Alligator mississippiensis: one gene and its partner. Each later gene encodes a partner of the first gene's protein in a complex. Links are inferred from orthologs where the notes say so. Each region holds a gene or a part of one and is shown on either strand. Other genes may lie near its edges.

Region 1 (8,122 bases):
AGAGCCTTCCTGCTGCTATAACATTATTTACTACTACATATTGAATCATCCTACCCTTCTTTATGATCTGCAGCAGCTCCGCTCCTTCAGTGAACTCCACAGAGGTAGCTCACATGATTGAATATTATTACTACTATGTATCAGTGAGGGCGTGGTTACCGGGGCAGGGGATTCTTACTCTAATCATTGGGCAAGGAAGAAGCTATGGGAGCGGTGACAAAGGATGCTTCTTGTTTGCCTTTGTCGGACTGGAATTTGATAAATTTGTTCTGTAGTGGGCTTCACTTTAAGATCACTTTCAAACTGAAGCTGGTGCAGAATACCACTGCCTAACTATTACAAGGGCATTTATTTTCTATGAAGGACTCTCTAAATTGGAATTTACTTCCCTTGATCTGAAAAAGCCTGGATTTGATATCCTTTAGGGTATGCAGTAAGTTATATTTTTCTGGGCATTTCTGGGAGGAGCAGGAGTTTTTTTTTCCTTATGGTAGACTTTACCCTGTGAATTTACCCCTCTTGACTGTGTGTATTAGATCATATTTGGACTAACTTGACAGTCTATTTGCATAAGGAGGCTTTTGTCCATGGTGCATGTTATGGCATTATGGTTCCTAGGCCTTAGATGAGCAATATAGTAAGTCAGAATATAAAAGTGAACACCGATCAATACTAAATACCAGTATTTTGTCCCCAAATTTTTGTAGCTAATGGTTTCCATCTGATACATTCATTTCTTTAATTTTGTAATAAAATACATAATTTTGCACTTTGTGAGTTAATACAAATATCGTTAAAAGTCATTACAAGTACTGTCTCATTCTTTAAAAAGTCTGTAGCGATATTAATATTTTCAAAGCCGTCATGATTATTCTGTGCTAAAGCTGAAACAAATGTGTCTATTTTTTTAATAATTACTTTATTGATACTGTTTTTAAAACTGGAATAAAATAACTAATGAATAAATTATGTAGAAAGCTGTTATTCAAACCAGCATCTAATTATAATTTCGAGTCTTTATGTTCTTTTAGAATTCCCTTTTTGCAAGAATGTGTGTGCATGATGTATTTATATTGTTTTATCTAATCTGGACTGAATCAAACGAGCTATATTTGTGGAAATGCTATGTTCTTTGGTTCTGTTTTACATTAGGAATCCAGTGTTGGAAGACAGAACCTCTCTCTCCTAGAAGATCTGTATCCTGGTGTGAGGGGGAGATGGGCAGACATGAAGCTAGCAGAGAACACAAACAGAAACTGAATTTGAGTGACTCACAATTGGTCAAAAATCTAGTACAGTTCTTTTCCATACTCTGCTTCAGAATGAAAGCTTCTGTTTAAGAAAGACCCAGACTCTTCAGCTTGGCAAGATTGCTTTGTATCATGTCCTGAAACTGAAGAGGAGACCACTGGAAAACTTCCTTCTATGCAGAATCCTTTTAGGTCTAAAGGTGAGAGAGGCTGTTTTATTGCCATCCAAGACACCTGCTGCTTCTTCCATCCATCCATCAGCATAACGGAATGAGAAGGCCTGCTGGAAAGTAAACAGGGAGCAACTGTGTGCCATTAGCTTGCATCCCTGATTTGAGCTGGATCCCTAAAACTGAAATGAGAAGCCAAAGTTGGTCCCTACATCTTCCCTTCTTCCACTCTGTTAAATGTCAATATTGTTAATCTTCCAGTACTGTTCAAAACGCACAGCAAAAAGGGATGAGATCTATTCCTGGCTTAGGGTCAGAGGGGAGAGCAACATAAGTAATGTTGTGGTGGGTGTCTGCCATGGACCACCAGACCAGGAGGATGTGATGGATGAGGCTTTCTTCAAACAGCTAGCAGAAGTTTCCTGATCACAAGTCCTTGTTCTCATGAGAGACTTCAGTCACCCTCCCAGTCATCTCCTGGGAGGGCAATACAGCAGTGCGCAAGCAATCTAGGAAGATTTTTGGAGAGTGCTGGGAACAACTTCCTGGTGCAACTGTTGGAGACCAACTAGGGGCTGTGCTCTTCTTGACCTGCTGCTCACAAACAGGGAAGAATTGGTGGGGAATGTAGAAGTGAGTGGCAACTTGGGCAGAAGCGAGCATGAGATGATTCAGTTCGGGATCCTGAGGAAAGAAAGAATGGAGAACAGCAGAAAAAGGACCCTGGACTTCAGAAAAGCAGACCTTGACTCATGAAACTGATGGGCAGGATCCCCTGGGAGGCCAGTCTGAGGGGAAAGGCATCCAGGAGAGCTGGTTGTACTTCAAAGAAATCTTACTGAGGGCATAGGAACAAACCATCCCAATAAACAGGAAGACTAGCAAGTATGGCAGAAGACCAGCTTGGCTTAAGAAGGGAACTTTTCAGTGAGCTAAAACACAAAAAGGAATATTACAATAAGTAGAAACTTGGACAAACAACTAGGGAGGAATATGAGAGCATTACTTGGGCATGCAGGGGTGAGATCAGAAAGTCCAAAGCGCAGTTGGAGAGTTGCTGCTAGCAAAGGACGTATAGGGTAACAGGAAGGCTTTCTGCAAGTATGTCAGCAACAAGGAGGATCACAGAAAGTGTGGGTCCCTTACTGAAAGGGGGAGGCAACCTTGAGACAGGATGTGGAAAAGTCTAAAGTACTCAATGCCTTTTTTACCTTAGTCTTCATAAGCAAGGTCAGCTCCCAGACTACTGCACCTGGTAGCAGTTTGGGGAGGAGGTGAGCAGCCAACAGTGGCAAAATAACAGTTCAGGGACTATTTAAAAAAGTTGGACATGTAAGTCTGTGGGGCCAGATGCAATGCACCCAAGTGTGCTGATAGAGTTGGCCAAAGTGATTGCAAAGCCGCTGGCCATCTTTGAAAACTCATAACAGTTGGAAAAAGGCAAATAATAGTGCTTCTCTTTAAGAAAGGGAAGAAGCAGGATCCAAGGAACTATAGACCGGTCAGTCTCACCTCAGTCCCTGGAAAAAACATAAATCAGGTCCTCAAGAAATTCATTTGTAAGCACTTGGAAAAGGTAATTAGGAACAGTCAGCATGGATTCAGTGAGGGCAAGTCATGCCTGACCAAACTGATTACCTGCTCTGATGAGACGCCTGGCTCTGTAGATGCAGGGAAAGCAGTAGATGTGGTATACCTTGACTTTGGCAAGGTCTCTTGCAAGCAGACTAAAGAAGTATGGGTTGGATGAATGAACTGCAAAGTGGACAGAAAACTGGCTAGATCATTAGGCTGGATCAATGGCTCCATGTCTAGGTGGCAGCCAGTATAAAGTGGAGTCCCCCAGGGCTTGGTCTTGGGGCTGTTTATTTTCACTATCTTCATCAGTGACCTGAAAGGTGGGAGTATACCCTCAGCAAGTCTGCAGATGACACCAAGTTGTGGGGAGTAGTAGATATGTTGGAAGGTAGGGCTAGGATTCAGATAGACCTAGACAAATTGGAGGATTGGACCAAAAGAAATCTTATGAGGCTCAATAAGAACAAGTGTAAAATCCTGCAACAAGGAGAGAAGAATCCTAAGCACCAGTACAGGCTGAGAACTGACTCGACTGAACAACAGCTCTGCAGAAAAGGATGTGGAGGTTACAGCGGACAGTAAGCTGAATATGAGCCAACAGTGCTGTTGTTGCAAAGAAGGCTAACACCATACAAGGGTTGCATTAGTAGGAGCGTTGCCACCAGAGTGAGGGGAGTGGTCCTTCCCTTCTATTCTATTTTTCCCCCTTTATTCCCCCCCCCCTTCCCTGCTTTACCTTTTGTCTAATTTCTACCTATTTACATTCTCACTGACACCCTGCCACTTTTAGCATCTCATTCCTTGGCGTCTCAGAAAAGCAGAGACTCCCTATGCCTGAAGAAGTGTGACTACCCCTAAAAGCTTGCTAAGACCTTTTTCTAACTATTCAGTTGGTCTAATAAACAAAATCACACCTACTCAAAGAAACTTGCCATTTTAGGATTATAACATTCATAGATTAATATCTAAATTTCATAGCCATTAGACTGCTTCAGGGGTAGCTGCATGGATTAATTTTAGATTGCCATTAAAAGATCTTAATTGGGCAATCATTCACAATGTGTTGCACCATCTGAAAAATTGCACCACACAGCCCTGAAAAATCCCATCACAGTTGCAACCTGGATGCTCTTTGATTCTCCATTTATGGAGCTAGTGTCCACATTTTCCATGAAGGGTCCAAATTTGATTCAAGGAGGACCAAATCTTTGTTGGTAGGACAAATCCTGGCTGGGGGACAGTAAGGTTGCTAAAGATGTATTTATGCAGCAGGTTTGTATTTGTCCAGGCTTCTCTCCATTGCTCTTCAGTGCACCTTTAGCTTCTTTATAACTTCTGCCCGGTACCCTCAGCATCTCAGAGTTACAACACCTCAGGCAAGGGGTAACTGGCCCGTGCTTCCTTGCTTCAGTCCCAGAGCTGAGAATAAGCCTTGCAGTCCTCCAGCATCCCAGGATGCCCTGCCCCTCCCCTCACAGCACCCCGGGGTCCCACCCCCCAGGGCAAGGTCCAGCCCTGCGGGCAAGCAGCCGCGTTAACCCTTAAGGTGCCACTGCTCCCAGCACTTCCCTGCCCAGTGCATGCAGGACCCGGCACCTGCGGCACGGGGCGCTGCCTGTTTCGGGGCCGTGCCCTTCACTATGCAATTCAGCGGGGGAGGGGGCCCATTAAAGCCGCGCTCGTCCCCCGTCGCTCCAGGGCCGGGGTCAAAGGTAACTGGACTCTCTTAGGGCGCATGCGCCGCCCCACGCCCCCGGTTCGGTCCACCCCGCCCCACCCCGCCCCCGCCGGAGCAGCGGCTGGGATTGGCGGGTGGATTGTGTACACACACGAGGAAGCGCCAATGGGCGGCTGGCGGCGCCTTACGTCAGGCGGAGGGCCGGCCAATGGGAGCGGGCGGTTGTCAGACGCCGCCAAGCTTGTGCGGGGGAGCTGCGCCCGGCTCAGGCGCCGGGAGCGCTGGATTCACACCGCCGCCGCGGGGCTGCTCTCCGCGCCGGGCCGGGCCCGCCGGCACCTGGTAAGGACGCGCCGAGCGCCGCGGCCCCGACCCCCGCCTGCTCCCGGCGCGGCGCCCCCGGGGCTGCTTGCGGGCGCGTCCCGCTCCCCGGCGCGGCGGTACAGCGGCGCGGGCGGGCCGGGCCCCGTGGGGTGACAGCGCGCCGGGACTCTGCGGCGGCGGTGCGGCCTGGTTGGGTGCGGCGGGAGCAGGCGCGGCGGCTCTTCCTGCTCCGGGCCGGGCGGCGAGGGCGGGGCCTGCAGCGCCGGCGCCGCCCGGTCCTGGCCTTGCGGCGGGGCCCGCCGGGTCCTTCCCGGCTTCTGGCGGCGGAGCAGGCACCGCCCGCGGTCGCTTTGCGCCGCCAGGGCCCGGGGGAAGGCGGGCGTGGGCGGCTGCCGATGCGGCCTGGGGTTGGGGAAGGCTGAACAGCCCCTGGCTCGGCCGAGAAACGCGGCTCGGGTTGGGGGGCCGCTCCTGCGCTGAGGAGGAAGTTGTCCGGCTGTCCAGAGCTTCACCCGGATCCTCGGTTCACCCCTACGTTTCCTGGGAGGCCAGGCCTGGCCTCTTCGTGAGGCGGGTCTGTCCTCTAGGAGGGGCTTTGGTCTCCTGTGACGTCCGCCTGGCAACTCTGGGCACAAGTCCAGCCAACTTAATAGAAGAGTCGGCATAGAAACATGGAAAGGGGGGCATTTGGGGGCCTGTCTAATTATGCCAGAGCTTCTCTTTCTTTTTATTAAAGCGACTTGGCTTTCCTAAAAGTTGTCTGTTCGTCTTCAAAAATTTAAATCTTCTCCCTTGAAAATCTGGTTACATTTAGCAAAAATACTGTCCAGCGGTGACTGGGTCACACAGATGTTGTATCTAGTTCTGCGTGTCTTAGAAATTCCCTTGTAACTGGCTCGCGAGCTGGAACTTTGATTGTTACCTGGTAAACCTGCCCTTGTATGCTGATCCTGGAAGCAGCTTCCTTTTCTTTAGGTTAGATTGTGGCTAGTAAAACAGTTGATCCTCTGGTGACTGAGCTTTGTCTTTCACAGCATTCGCATCAATGTGATAGAGGTGAGTTTACCCATGAGTTATCTGAACTGCAAAATGAGGTTACTTGTTTGAATCCTAGCACTGATATTTTGTACATATAGACACGCTTAATGTGTGGACCCCTTCCTTAAAATAGACTACTGGATATCTATGCGATGCCTAGATAGCAACTTGATCAAGCCCTAAGGAGAAGGCAAAAAGTAGGGTGTCTCACCCTAAGTGCCTAAGTGGTTCAGAAAGGCATGAGCTTTGGTAGGCAACTACCTACTTAAATCAGATGCTCTGAATTAACTGACAGAAGAGAAACTATTTAATGGGAAGGAAGAAGTGGTTATAAGGGGGGGGGGGGACGGACAACCTTTTTTTTTTTTTAGCAAGAGATAGGGGATGGAGGGGAGGGAATACAGAATATTTTCCCCACTCCCACCACTACCTCCCCAAGACAACTTTTGCTTGTTAACTTTAGACTGGGATGACCTCTTCTAGCAGAGATGCTGATCACATGGTACACCTGTGCCCTAAAATAAGAGGGGGAAGAAAAATGATAACACAGGAGTTCCTCTTCACAGGACTGTTGTATATTAGCCAATTTCTAAGAGCAATCTTGTATTCAGCTGTAAAACCCTCAAACTTTTATAACCACTTCCTGTTTGTGCAAAAAATCTTTGCTGTAATACAAAAAAAGAAGAGGCAGTTTGACTTCAGTGGATACAGTTCATAATCTTTATTAAATTATATACCTTTCATTTATGTACTGCTGTTAACTGAGTGCAATGCAAGCTTTTTGCCTATGTTGCTACTTGTAGCCTCAGATGAGCAGTTCAGCTGTTAGTATATTAAACAGTATATTTAATATCATCTTTCTGATTGTTTATTACATAAGTAGTTACCTTCTGATACCAAATGATATGAGACAAAAACCCTGTAAGTTCCTCATTTTTCATCATTCATTTCAACATGAAGCTGAAAAATTACTGTTCTTCTAGTACCATTATTTAGATGCTAATGTAAAGACCTTTTTCCTGGGATGAGCAAGGTATTTCAGTGAATTACTGCACCTTTTAGAAAACTTTTGACACTAGTCATCTTGTGAAACTTATCCTGTTGTTTTTGTTCCTGGCAGGTGTTTTTTCTACACTACAAGTTGTGTGACAGTTAATATGATTTGGTATAATCTTTCTGCTCATCAAAAGCCTATTGCTAAAAGTATGGCAAGTCCTAATCTAATTCATTTAGTTGTGTGCAGAAGCTTGCTTGATTTAAGGCTGTCTGTTATAAGCTGCTTCTAAGATGTTCAAGCAGAGTGATGTTCAAAGGGTGCTTATTCTTCTGAAAGAACTTAATGAATTTATTCTCTTTGCATACTGGATATAACTTTTTGGAGCTTCTTGTGCACCTGGAAAGTCATGAGCAACCTCAGATGAACTGAGGAAGGTGGTGTCAGCTTCATTCTGCTGTAGAGGAGAGTCTACTTACAGGAACAGTACCAAAAAAAAATTAAAAAATAGCCATAGAGTGGTATAAGAGAGGTTCCTGGAGAACCTGATCAATTCAGTAAGAAAGAATAAAGAGGGGATATAGCTGGGAAAGGGAAGTTGTTTAGCTAAGTTGTATGTCACATTTTTAACTGCAGTTGCTACAACTAAACAGGCTCAGATTAATCTGGATGGTTTTATTGATATGTTTCCTTAATAAAGGCTTTAGCATTGCATTGACATTTATTTGCTTTCTAAATGTGTGTGGCAGTGATTAGAGGAAAGATGTCTCATTCTCTATTGGCATAATTTATGGGATCTTACTACTAGCTAGAGGGTTGCATGAGTAGATTTTTGTAGACTACTAGTAGGTAGTGGATACTGAAAAGTAAAGACCAACACATTTTCTCCCTCTGGTCTCCTGCCATGAAATGTGTTCTTGAAGCTGGGCCTTGGCTGTATCACCATAATGTCAATGCAAAGTCAACAGGCCACACAAGTCCATGCTCTTCTAAATGTATCTAACTTTGATGGTTAAGTAATTCAGTGGAAAATCAGCTAAAATAGATTAGTCCCCTGAGGTATACAAGTTAAATGAAACCTGGCAGTTTA
Region 2 (8,265 bases), on another chromosome or scaffold:
CAGGTCTTGCCACCAGACATTTAGGAACTCTTCAAAACTAAAGAGGTCTTGCTACAGCAGATGTGGACCAAGGGAAGGAAAAGAAACTGGAACAGAACTCTGAAGCACAGACATTCACCCCCTTGTTTTATATAAGTATTGCCTTCAAGAAAAAATGGTTGCCAGTGCTCAGGAGTTATACAGGGTGTCAGACTAAAACTGCCCTGTTAGAGGTACCCACTCAGCAACTCAGATTTTTCTTGGTTCTTCCATAATAGAGCCACTGCCCTTTCATGCACCATCATACAGTTGTGCCAATGTGAGCCAGGACAAGCTATGAAGCTCTGATCTTGTTGGCTATACATCACAAACGAGGAACCAGCCAGGGAATCAAAGCCTTGCCATAGCAACCTCAAATCAAGCACCTGACTTGATCACCCAGGAAGTTTGTGTCAACAGGCAAAGCAGAAGCTTCACACTGATGCTTCAGCAAAATGCCTGGGGCAAATGTTCAACCACAAGAAACTGGAGTTTCAAGAGCACTTGCCAAGACTTCTCATGAATTTTTACTGCACCTGCTTCTTACCTCTCTTTAGTGAGAGATGAGCTGGATCATGAAGGAAGTGGGTGGGAAAGAGGGAAATATGGTAACGGAGGCCTGTTAACAGTGGGAACACCCCAAAAGCATGACTGTGGCTGGGCTGGACACCTCCCTGCAGCATGAAGTCTCAGAAACACACATGACAAGAAGCAACTTGACTGTTCAAGGAATGAGCTTGGCATTGCTCATACTCCTCCAGATATCTGACTGTCAGGTTAAGCTACACACAGGCAGGAACCACCCCCTTCCCAGGAGCTTGAAAAAGGAGTTTGGACCCTGCTGCTCATACACGTGTGTGTTAAGAGCTTTGCTGACCACAGGCACCAGGCTGCAGTCTGAGAGGCTTTGAGAGGAACTCCTCTCAAGAGCACCTGAGAACAGCAGGTCACTTTGGGAGGATTCTCCCAAACACGGGCTCAACAGGAAGCACAAGCCCAAGCACTAAGCATGACAGCACAGAGGAGCAGTAACTGCATGTTTTCCAACCCTCCCAAATAACAATATCTTATTATGGATTTCTGAACCAAACAGCAGCCTACAATTAAACCAAAAGGATCAACTATAAAGCTGTTGCCCCCTGCAGGCCCCTCTGACTAGAGGGATGGGCTGCTGCAGAATAGTGTGTTTCAAGGGCAAAGCTTTCTCCTGGCTCCCTATCCCCTCTGCTGAATTAAAGCATAAGGATTCCAAACTGGAACAGTGACCAGTCTCATCTCAGGATCCATGGCCAATGATGCACAAGGGCTTAAGATCCTTATCATGGACTTGGCAGTGTACAATTAAAGGTGCGTTCCACACACAATCTGTCTCTCTCGGGACCAGAACTGCAAGCCCTCCTTGCTTTACACTTGATCTCGCTGGAGATGCTGGCCTTTTAAATCAACCTAGTAAGCCCTGTAAACAAGTCAAGACCCCAGAAAGAGGGAGAAAAGACTACTCCAGTGATCTCCCTTACTTCAGTGGTCTCTTATCTTGCGCTAGGAAAAGCATGGGCAAACCACTGTTTTCAGTGAGGCTCCCTGAGGAAAAAGGGGCACTGCATGTAGCTTCTGAGCTTGCTTGGAGAAACAATGGGAAGGTCCCCCGGTGCTGATGCTGAAGGAGAGAACCCCTGTTCCAGAAATCTTACCCTGAGGATTTAAAAAACATTACATCTCAGGGAGAGCAAATAAGCACATGCAAACAGACCCCACCCTGGGACAACAGACTTCTGCAGGACTGTGGCCTTAATATCCTGCAGCAGGAAGTGAAGCCTTTACATTTATACTGTTGCAGACTTTTGTCATAGCAGCTCAAGGAACTCACTGAGCTCTGGGAACCAATGGAGAGGCTTGGGGGCACAAATAAAATGCACTACTGGGACCTGGCCTTAAATGGAGTTCTGCTATGGTGAGGACCCCACTCTCTCAGGCTTTCCATTCCCCAGCTACTTATTTTCCCAGGTTTTCAAAAGTCAGCATTCCTCCCTCCTGTACAAGGCACATCACTCCCTTATGTGTTATCTACCTCACAGGCAGATGTATCAGGGCCAGAACTTCCACATCCTCCACTGCAACCTGTTCCACTTCACTACTTCACAGCAGTTATCAACAAAACTGGAAATGCATCTGAAGACAGCATGAGCTGCTGCTTTCATTTCAGGCTTCCTTTATGCAGTGCTGCCCACTTGGTAGCTCTGTTACACAGCCAGAAAACAAAGTGTGGCAGCCTTGCTCGGGGCCTCTGCCTACATCACCTAGCTACGTATTAACAGCGTACTGCCCTGCGCGGTGCCCATGGGGGCCCAGCCGGTGCAACACAGTCAACCTCTCCCAGTAGGAAAACACCCGAGGAGCGGAGCCCCGGAGGTCAGTCAAAGCCGCCAGGGCGCTCTCCTGAGCGAGGGGCAATGAGGCCAGCGCGCGGGGAAAGCGGCTTATGGCAGCCCCCGGCCGAGCTCCCCTGCATCCTACGCCCGGTCCGCTCGCCGCCGCCTTTCCGCTGGACTGCGCGGGTTCCGACCAGCCGCCCCACGGCAGCCTCGCCCGCAGGCTCCCCGTTCAGGTGCAAGAGGCGCCGCGTGGCACAGCCTCGGAGAGCGCCCGAGGCAAGCGCGCGGCGGGGCTAGGGAGTGAAAGCGGCATTACCGGCGGGCGCCCCAGGGCGGGCCTCTGCGCGGCGGGTCCCGGCCGCGGAGCCTGCGGGGTGGCGAAGAGCAGCAGCTCCGCCTCGCTGTCTCCGTCGGGCGCGGGCAGCTCGCCGGGGGTGGAGATGATCACGATCTGCTGCTCCACCACGCGGAGCCCCCCGGCTGCCCCCAGCAGCGCCTCCAGCTCGGCCACGCAGGCGCTGCCGCCATCCCGGGCCACCTCCAGGCCATCCAAAGACATCCTCCGCCCGGCGCGGGCTCACATCCCCGGGCGCTCACGGGGAAGACCCAGCGCTGCTCCCCTCGCCCGCTCCCGGCGCTGCGTCCACCCGGGGATCACAGCGGCCTGGCGGGCACGGCGGCACAGCCCCGCCAGCGGCGGGCAAAGGCCACGGCCGGGAGAAGCGGCAGGGCGCCGCGGCCCATACTCAGCCCGAGGAGGCGCAACCAGGCAAGGCCCCGAGCGCGGCGGCGACCCAGACCATCTGCCCCGGCCCGGCCACTGTTATTGTTCCCAGCTGGTCCCGGCCCCGCACGCGTTTGCGCGCCAAATCCTTTTTGCCGCGAAAGCAGCACGAGCCGAGTGCGCGCGCTCCGATTGGCTGCACCCGTCGCGTCGATACGCAACGCCGCGGGCAGCCGCGTCCCCATTGGTCGCGACCCCGGGATTGATACGCAAACAGCATCTCCCCATTGGCCGCGGCGGGGCAGCCGGGAGGTTTCGGAGTGACTGGGAGACCGTTCTGACAGTGGCCCAATCACAGAGGCTGCGTCGGTCGGAGTGGGGAGGGAAGGGGGCCGTGGGCCAATCAGCGGGGAGCTGGGGGACGCTGAGCTGGGGCCGCTGGGGTGAGAGGGGTTCGAACCGGGGCCTTAAAGGGGAAAAGCGCGGCACGGGCGCTTTCCCTGTCCCGGGGCTGACGTGAGCCCGGGCTGCCCCGCCTCTTCCTGGCACCGCCCCAGCGCTGGTCTCACGCTCCGAGGTCTCCCTCTGGGACTGAGACCCCTCCCCTCGCTGCCCTGCTCAGGACGGCGGCGTCTTCGCGCCTTGCACGAGGGCACTTGGCCAGAGGCTGGCGCGCGTCGCCGTAGCTGATGATCCTGTCTCAGCCATCCCCCAGCTCACCCCGTGACTTGCGGCCCACGGGGTGTGCCATCAAGTGCTCTACCTGGACCACGAGTCTCCAGTTGGAAGGGCAGGCTGGGAGCTGCAGGCTTCAGGAAACGCACCTGACTTAAACACCGGGAGAAAGGAATAGAGAATTAAAAAAAAAAAGTGTCTGTGTGTGCCCATGCATGCAGGTTTGTGCACATGCGTTCATGTAAATGCATCTCTGTGTGGGTGTTTGTCAGCTGTGTGCATGCATGCGTGTGCATGTGCCCACACCTATATGCATCAGTACAAAGACATACACGGGTGAATGTGGCATAAAAGGAGCAGGCAAGGCTGGTAGCAAGTCAAATGATCCCCCTAGGTATCTGTGATGTGGTCTCTTGTTCTTGAGTGGGTGCATGCAGTAGAGGGTTGGTTTCTTTAGTTGCTGCAAACATGACTTGCTTCATAAAGCATTTCTTCCTTTGGCATTACGGGATGAGGCCAGCTGTTTGGACTTTGCCCCCAGTAGGACTAATCAGACTCAGCAAAATTTACAGTTATACAAAATTGCCTGTACTTTGTCCATATGACAGAGTCCACCTTGGCTCTGAATGGCAGAGCTGTGACAATTTGTGAATGATTGATCCAAAGTTAGACTGCTGATGCCACCAGGGGGCTTCCTGGCATACCTGTAGTCTGGAAAATGCAGTTAAGAGAAGGTGTCCAAATCCCAGCCCTTTCAATTCATGTATTCAAAGTCAAGATCCATATGAGGATGGGTGGGTTAAGGGACAACACAAGAAGCCAGCAGCAACAAGAAACAGTTCTTCACACTTCCCTCCCCCCACTTTCTAAGGCCAGTTGACATCCTGGATTCCTCTCATTCTGACTTCAGACTAAGGCACTCCTAGCCGCTTTCATAGATGACATCTTTCTATCTGTGGACAGGTCCATACCTCCAGCCTCATTATTCTGAGCCTCTTTCTAGAGCTTGTAGGTAGTGTTACAAAACACTTTTGCACTGTTCCAAGTAGCTGTAGGAATAGATGATAAAGCTATGAAATGCCTTAGATTTCTCCTCAGAGACCAAACCCAGAGTCTGACACAGGGAACTAATGCTCTGTTTCCAAAGCCTTCCATTCTGGAGCCTAGTCCCCACCTTACAACATCCAATGTCTACATGGAGCTGATGAGATACTGTAGCTTGAAGTGCCGCCATTACCCAGATGATATCCAATTCCATCTCTTCACGTCAACTATAAACAGCAATGTCTCTCAGCTTCCTTACTGCCTAACTAAAGCTGAAACCATTTTGAATGCAACCATCCTGGGAGGGAGAAGGGAGTGCTACAAAGAGTTTGTCAGCTCTGTGGCATCCCCCCTGTTGGAATTCACCTTCCCTTGGGTTGTCATGTGTGTCCTCAGCTGTGCATTCCCTTCAGATTTCATGGTACTATTGGTTATCAAATAGCTTGCTAGCAAATAACCCCAACATTTGATCCATTGGATACTGAACTCAGCTAAAGATGCCCTTTCCAGTCCTACCTTCCTGTGTTCCCCCTATGACTGGTCAGATAATAATGACTATCCTATAAGACAGACCTGGCTATAGGTCCATATGTTCCTCACCTTCAAGTGTGGCTATTGCAAGCCATGTCTAGACATAAAGCCTCAAATTCAGAGATAGTTGAAGTCTGTCCCTTTGGCCACCTTCTATGAACATCTTTCCCATGCACTGCTTTCTACAGTCACTGCCTAGTGGACAAAGTCTAGCTGAAGGTCTCTACTGTAATATTCAAAGTGCTCTAGGTAGCTCTCCTTTAGTGAGACCATGCTGTCCTTCTACAGCTATATTCCACGTGACAAGAAGTAAAAGCTCACTTACCAGAGTGCCCCTTGGGGTATCTAGAAACAATGGCCACAAAGTGACAGGGAGCAGATTTAGGCTGGACATCAAGACGGACTTCTTTATGGTAAGGGTTACCAGAATCTGAATGGGCTTCCAAGGTAGGTGGTGCTCTCCCCTACTCTGAAGGCCTTTAAGAGGAGACTGGACAAGCACCTGGCTGGGGTCATCTGATCCCAGTGCTCTTTCCTGCTCAGGGCAGAGGGTCAGACTCGATGATCTACTGAGGTCCCTTCGGGCCCTAAAAATCTATGAAATCTATGAATGAAGGACCCAATTCTTACAGGTTCTGGCCCCAGGAGTTATAGGAATAACTACAGGCCTCATCACTCTCAGAATTAAATGTCAGACTCATTTCTTTAGTGGTGTGTTCCCTCACTAGCTTCTACAGGCATGCATATGCAGTCCTACAAATTCATCAGACTCCTTTTCTAACATGCCAAGGAAGAAAAGAAAGAGAGGGGCAGGCATTTCTATTTAAAATACTTGGGAAGTGTTTGGCTACTTAGAAGACCTCTAAACATGGGATACACAAATCACTGGCATAATGTCCTCATGGAAGTGGTGGGAGTCTTGACATTGGAGTCATCTGAGAATGGTTGGGACAAAACCCCACAAGATATACTGTGAAACAGACAGAAACAAGGAGAAACAAGAGGCCTTAACACTCTTCATTGTATATTGATTATTTTCCCATGGGGAAGGGAATGGACCTTTCTGGAAAACTTGTTTGTTTTTACTTTAATCTATTTCTGATGTTCAATGGTAAACAGCACCCACCTGATTGTTTCTGGACAGTAATGCCTTGTCCCAAAATGATTGTGTTTCTTTCAGAATTAAGATCTTCTGAAAGGTGGGGGTTTTTAATTCATTTTTCTGGTGAAGTATGTCTTCATTGAACAAAATATAACTAGTGTACTGGCACATCTTATAGAAATTAAACAGGAAATATTGTCATAATACATTTAATAATTGCATGATTGTATTGGGGTACCTGCAGAGAAAATCTGGAGGTCTCATGAGCTGTCTTTGTCTTTGGCATGTCTTTAAGCTATAAGATCTGGGAGACTGCGAAGGCTCAAATTTGTACAAAAAGCCCAAGCCATTGAATGGAAAGAGAAGAAACTTTACTGTATTTACTACCAGTCTCTTGCTGTAATTGTATCACATTAGTCAGTGTATATACATGCTTCCCCTTTATGTCCTTTCACAGAGGATACCAGTCTTTAACAACTCAGCTATTTAGCTTAAGCTGTAGAGATTGATGATTTTGGCTTTGGTGGTCTTATATTCAGTACCTGTTGCTAGCCAAGGTGGAGACAATCTTGACAGCACACTCCTGAGTCTTTTCTCCAAAGGCCTAACTGGTAAGAAAATCAGAGTTATGTTGACTTTGCTGTGCAACACTTGTTCATCCATATTCTATACAGCCATGGGCAATTCAGAGCTGAAAAGGCAGATAACAGCAGAGTCCTCTAGTATCTCTAAATGTGCAGGGGGCTATGGTAATACACCCACAAAACATGGCATAGATTGTAGAGTTCCCTCCATATGCATCTCCATGTGTAGGAAGCTGATAAGTTGTTTTACCAAGTGAGAAGTCTAAATTAAAAAAAAAGGTACGATGAGAAAGCACATTTATGAATTGCGCCTTTTCTAGAATTGTAACTTATATAGACAAAGGTTTACAGAAAAAGAATCCCAGATTTTTTATTAAATACTCACTTCATCCATTACTGAAACATGGTTGCTTCTGGTGTGAAACATGGAAGCTATTTATTGACTCACGTTCACCATTTGAAAGAATATAAGAGAAAAATGAACAAATATGCCTCTAACTGAGCCTGAAGGGACACTCCTAAGGAAGCAGACTGTAATAAGCAGTGACAGATTATGGCTAGAATATAAGTCTGTTTACCTTGTAAGAAGTGCTGGGAGAAATGAATGACCTTTAGTAGTCAGTCTGTCCACCTTACCATGAAAAGCATAATGATCCTTCAGCACCAGCCTGGGGCACTGACTCAATGATACCCCAGAAAGGTGGCAAAGGATACAGTAAAAATGGGCCACATAATAGTCAGTCAAAGTCAATCAAGATTGTACTAGAAATCTTAGCCATATGTTTAAGTGGAATCCTGGGAGAGGAACTTGCCTGTTTCTGGAGGTCTTCAGTAGTGCAGTTTCACTAAATTAGAACCCTGGAAGCACTCTAGGATAGTAGTGACCTAGTTAATATAGTTACACCCACAGTGAAGACTCTTAAACATTGAAGATCACAGGCAAAAAAAAAAAAAGTCAGGTAGAACATAGACACTACAGAAACAGCTCGGAGAACTGTTTGATTCACTAAGTATCCTGCAAGCAGCAAACACCTGCAGCTGCTGCCTGACAGCAACCAGTAAAGGCTTTTACACAAATACAGGAAAAACCAGTTAAGTTGAAACAAAGCCAGTCTTACCACTCCATTCTAGAGACTTGCCCTGTCTTTTCAAAGAAGGGAGCTGTGTTTAAAACTTCCCTTGGCTGACCAGGCTGGAGGGAACTCTGAGCTCAGG

What was found. The genes of interacting proteins can lie anywhere in the genome.
Region 2: TFDP2 (region 1) and E2F1 share a complex: the UniProt entries of both Homo sapiens proteins name them as parts of the DRTF1/E2F transcription factor complex. The link is inferred for Alligator mississippiensis from reciprocal best matches to the Homo sapiens genes TFDP2 and E2F1.

Annotation. Positions count from the first base shown.
Region 1 is NC_081830.1:56,276,557-56,284,678, reverse strand, and holds the start of TFDP2 (transcription factor Dp-2), read left to right. Parts: upstream 1-4,893; 5' UTR 4,894-5,018; intron 5,019-8,122. UniProt on the Homo sapiens protein: Can stimulate E2F-dependent transcription.
Region 2 is NC_081832.1:27,211,883-27,220,147, reverse strand, and holds the start of E2F1 (transcription factor E2F1), read right to left. Parts: upstream 3,317-8,265; 5' UTR 2,950-3,316; coding exon 2,707-2,949; intron 1-2,706. UniProt on the Homo sapiens protein: Transcription activator that binds DNA cooperatively with DP proteins through the E2 recognition site, 5'-TTTC[CG]CGC-3' found in the promoter region of a number of genes whose products are involved in cell cycle regulation or in DNA replication.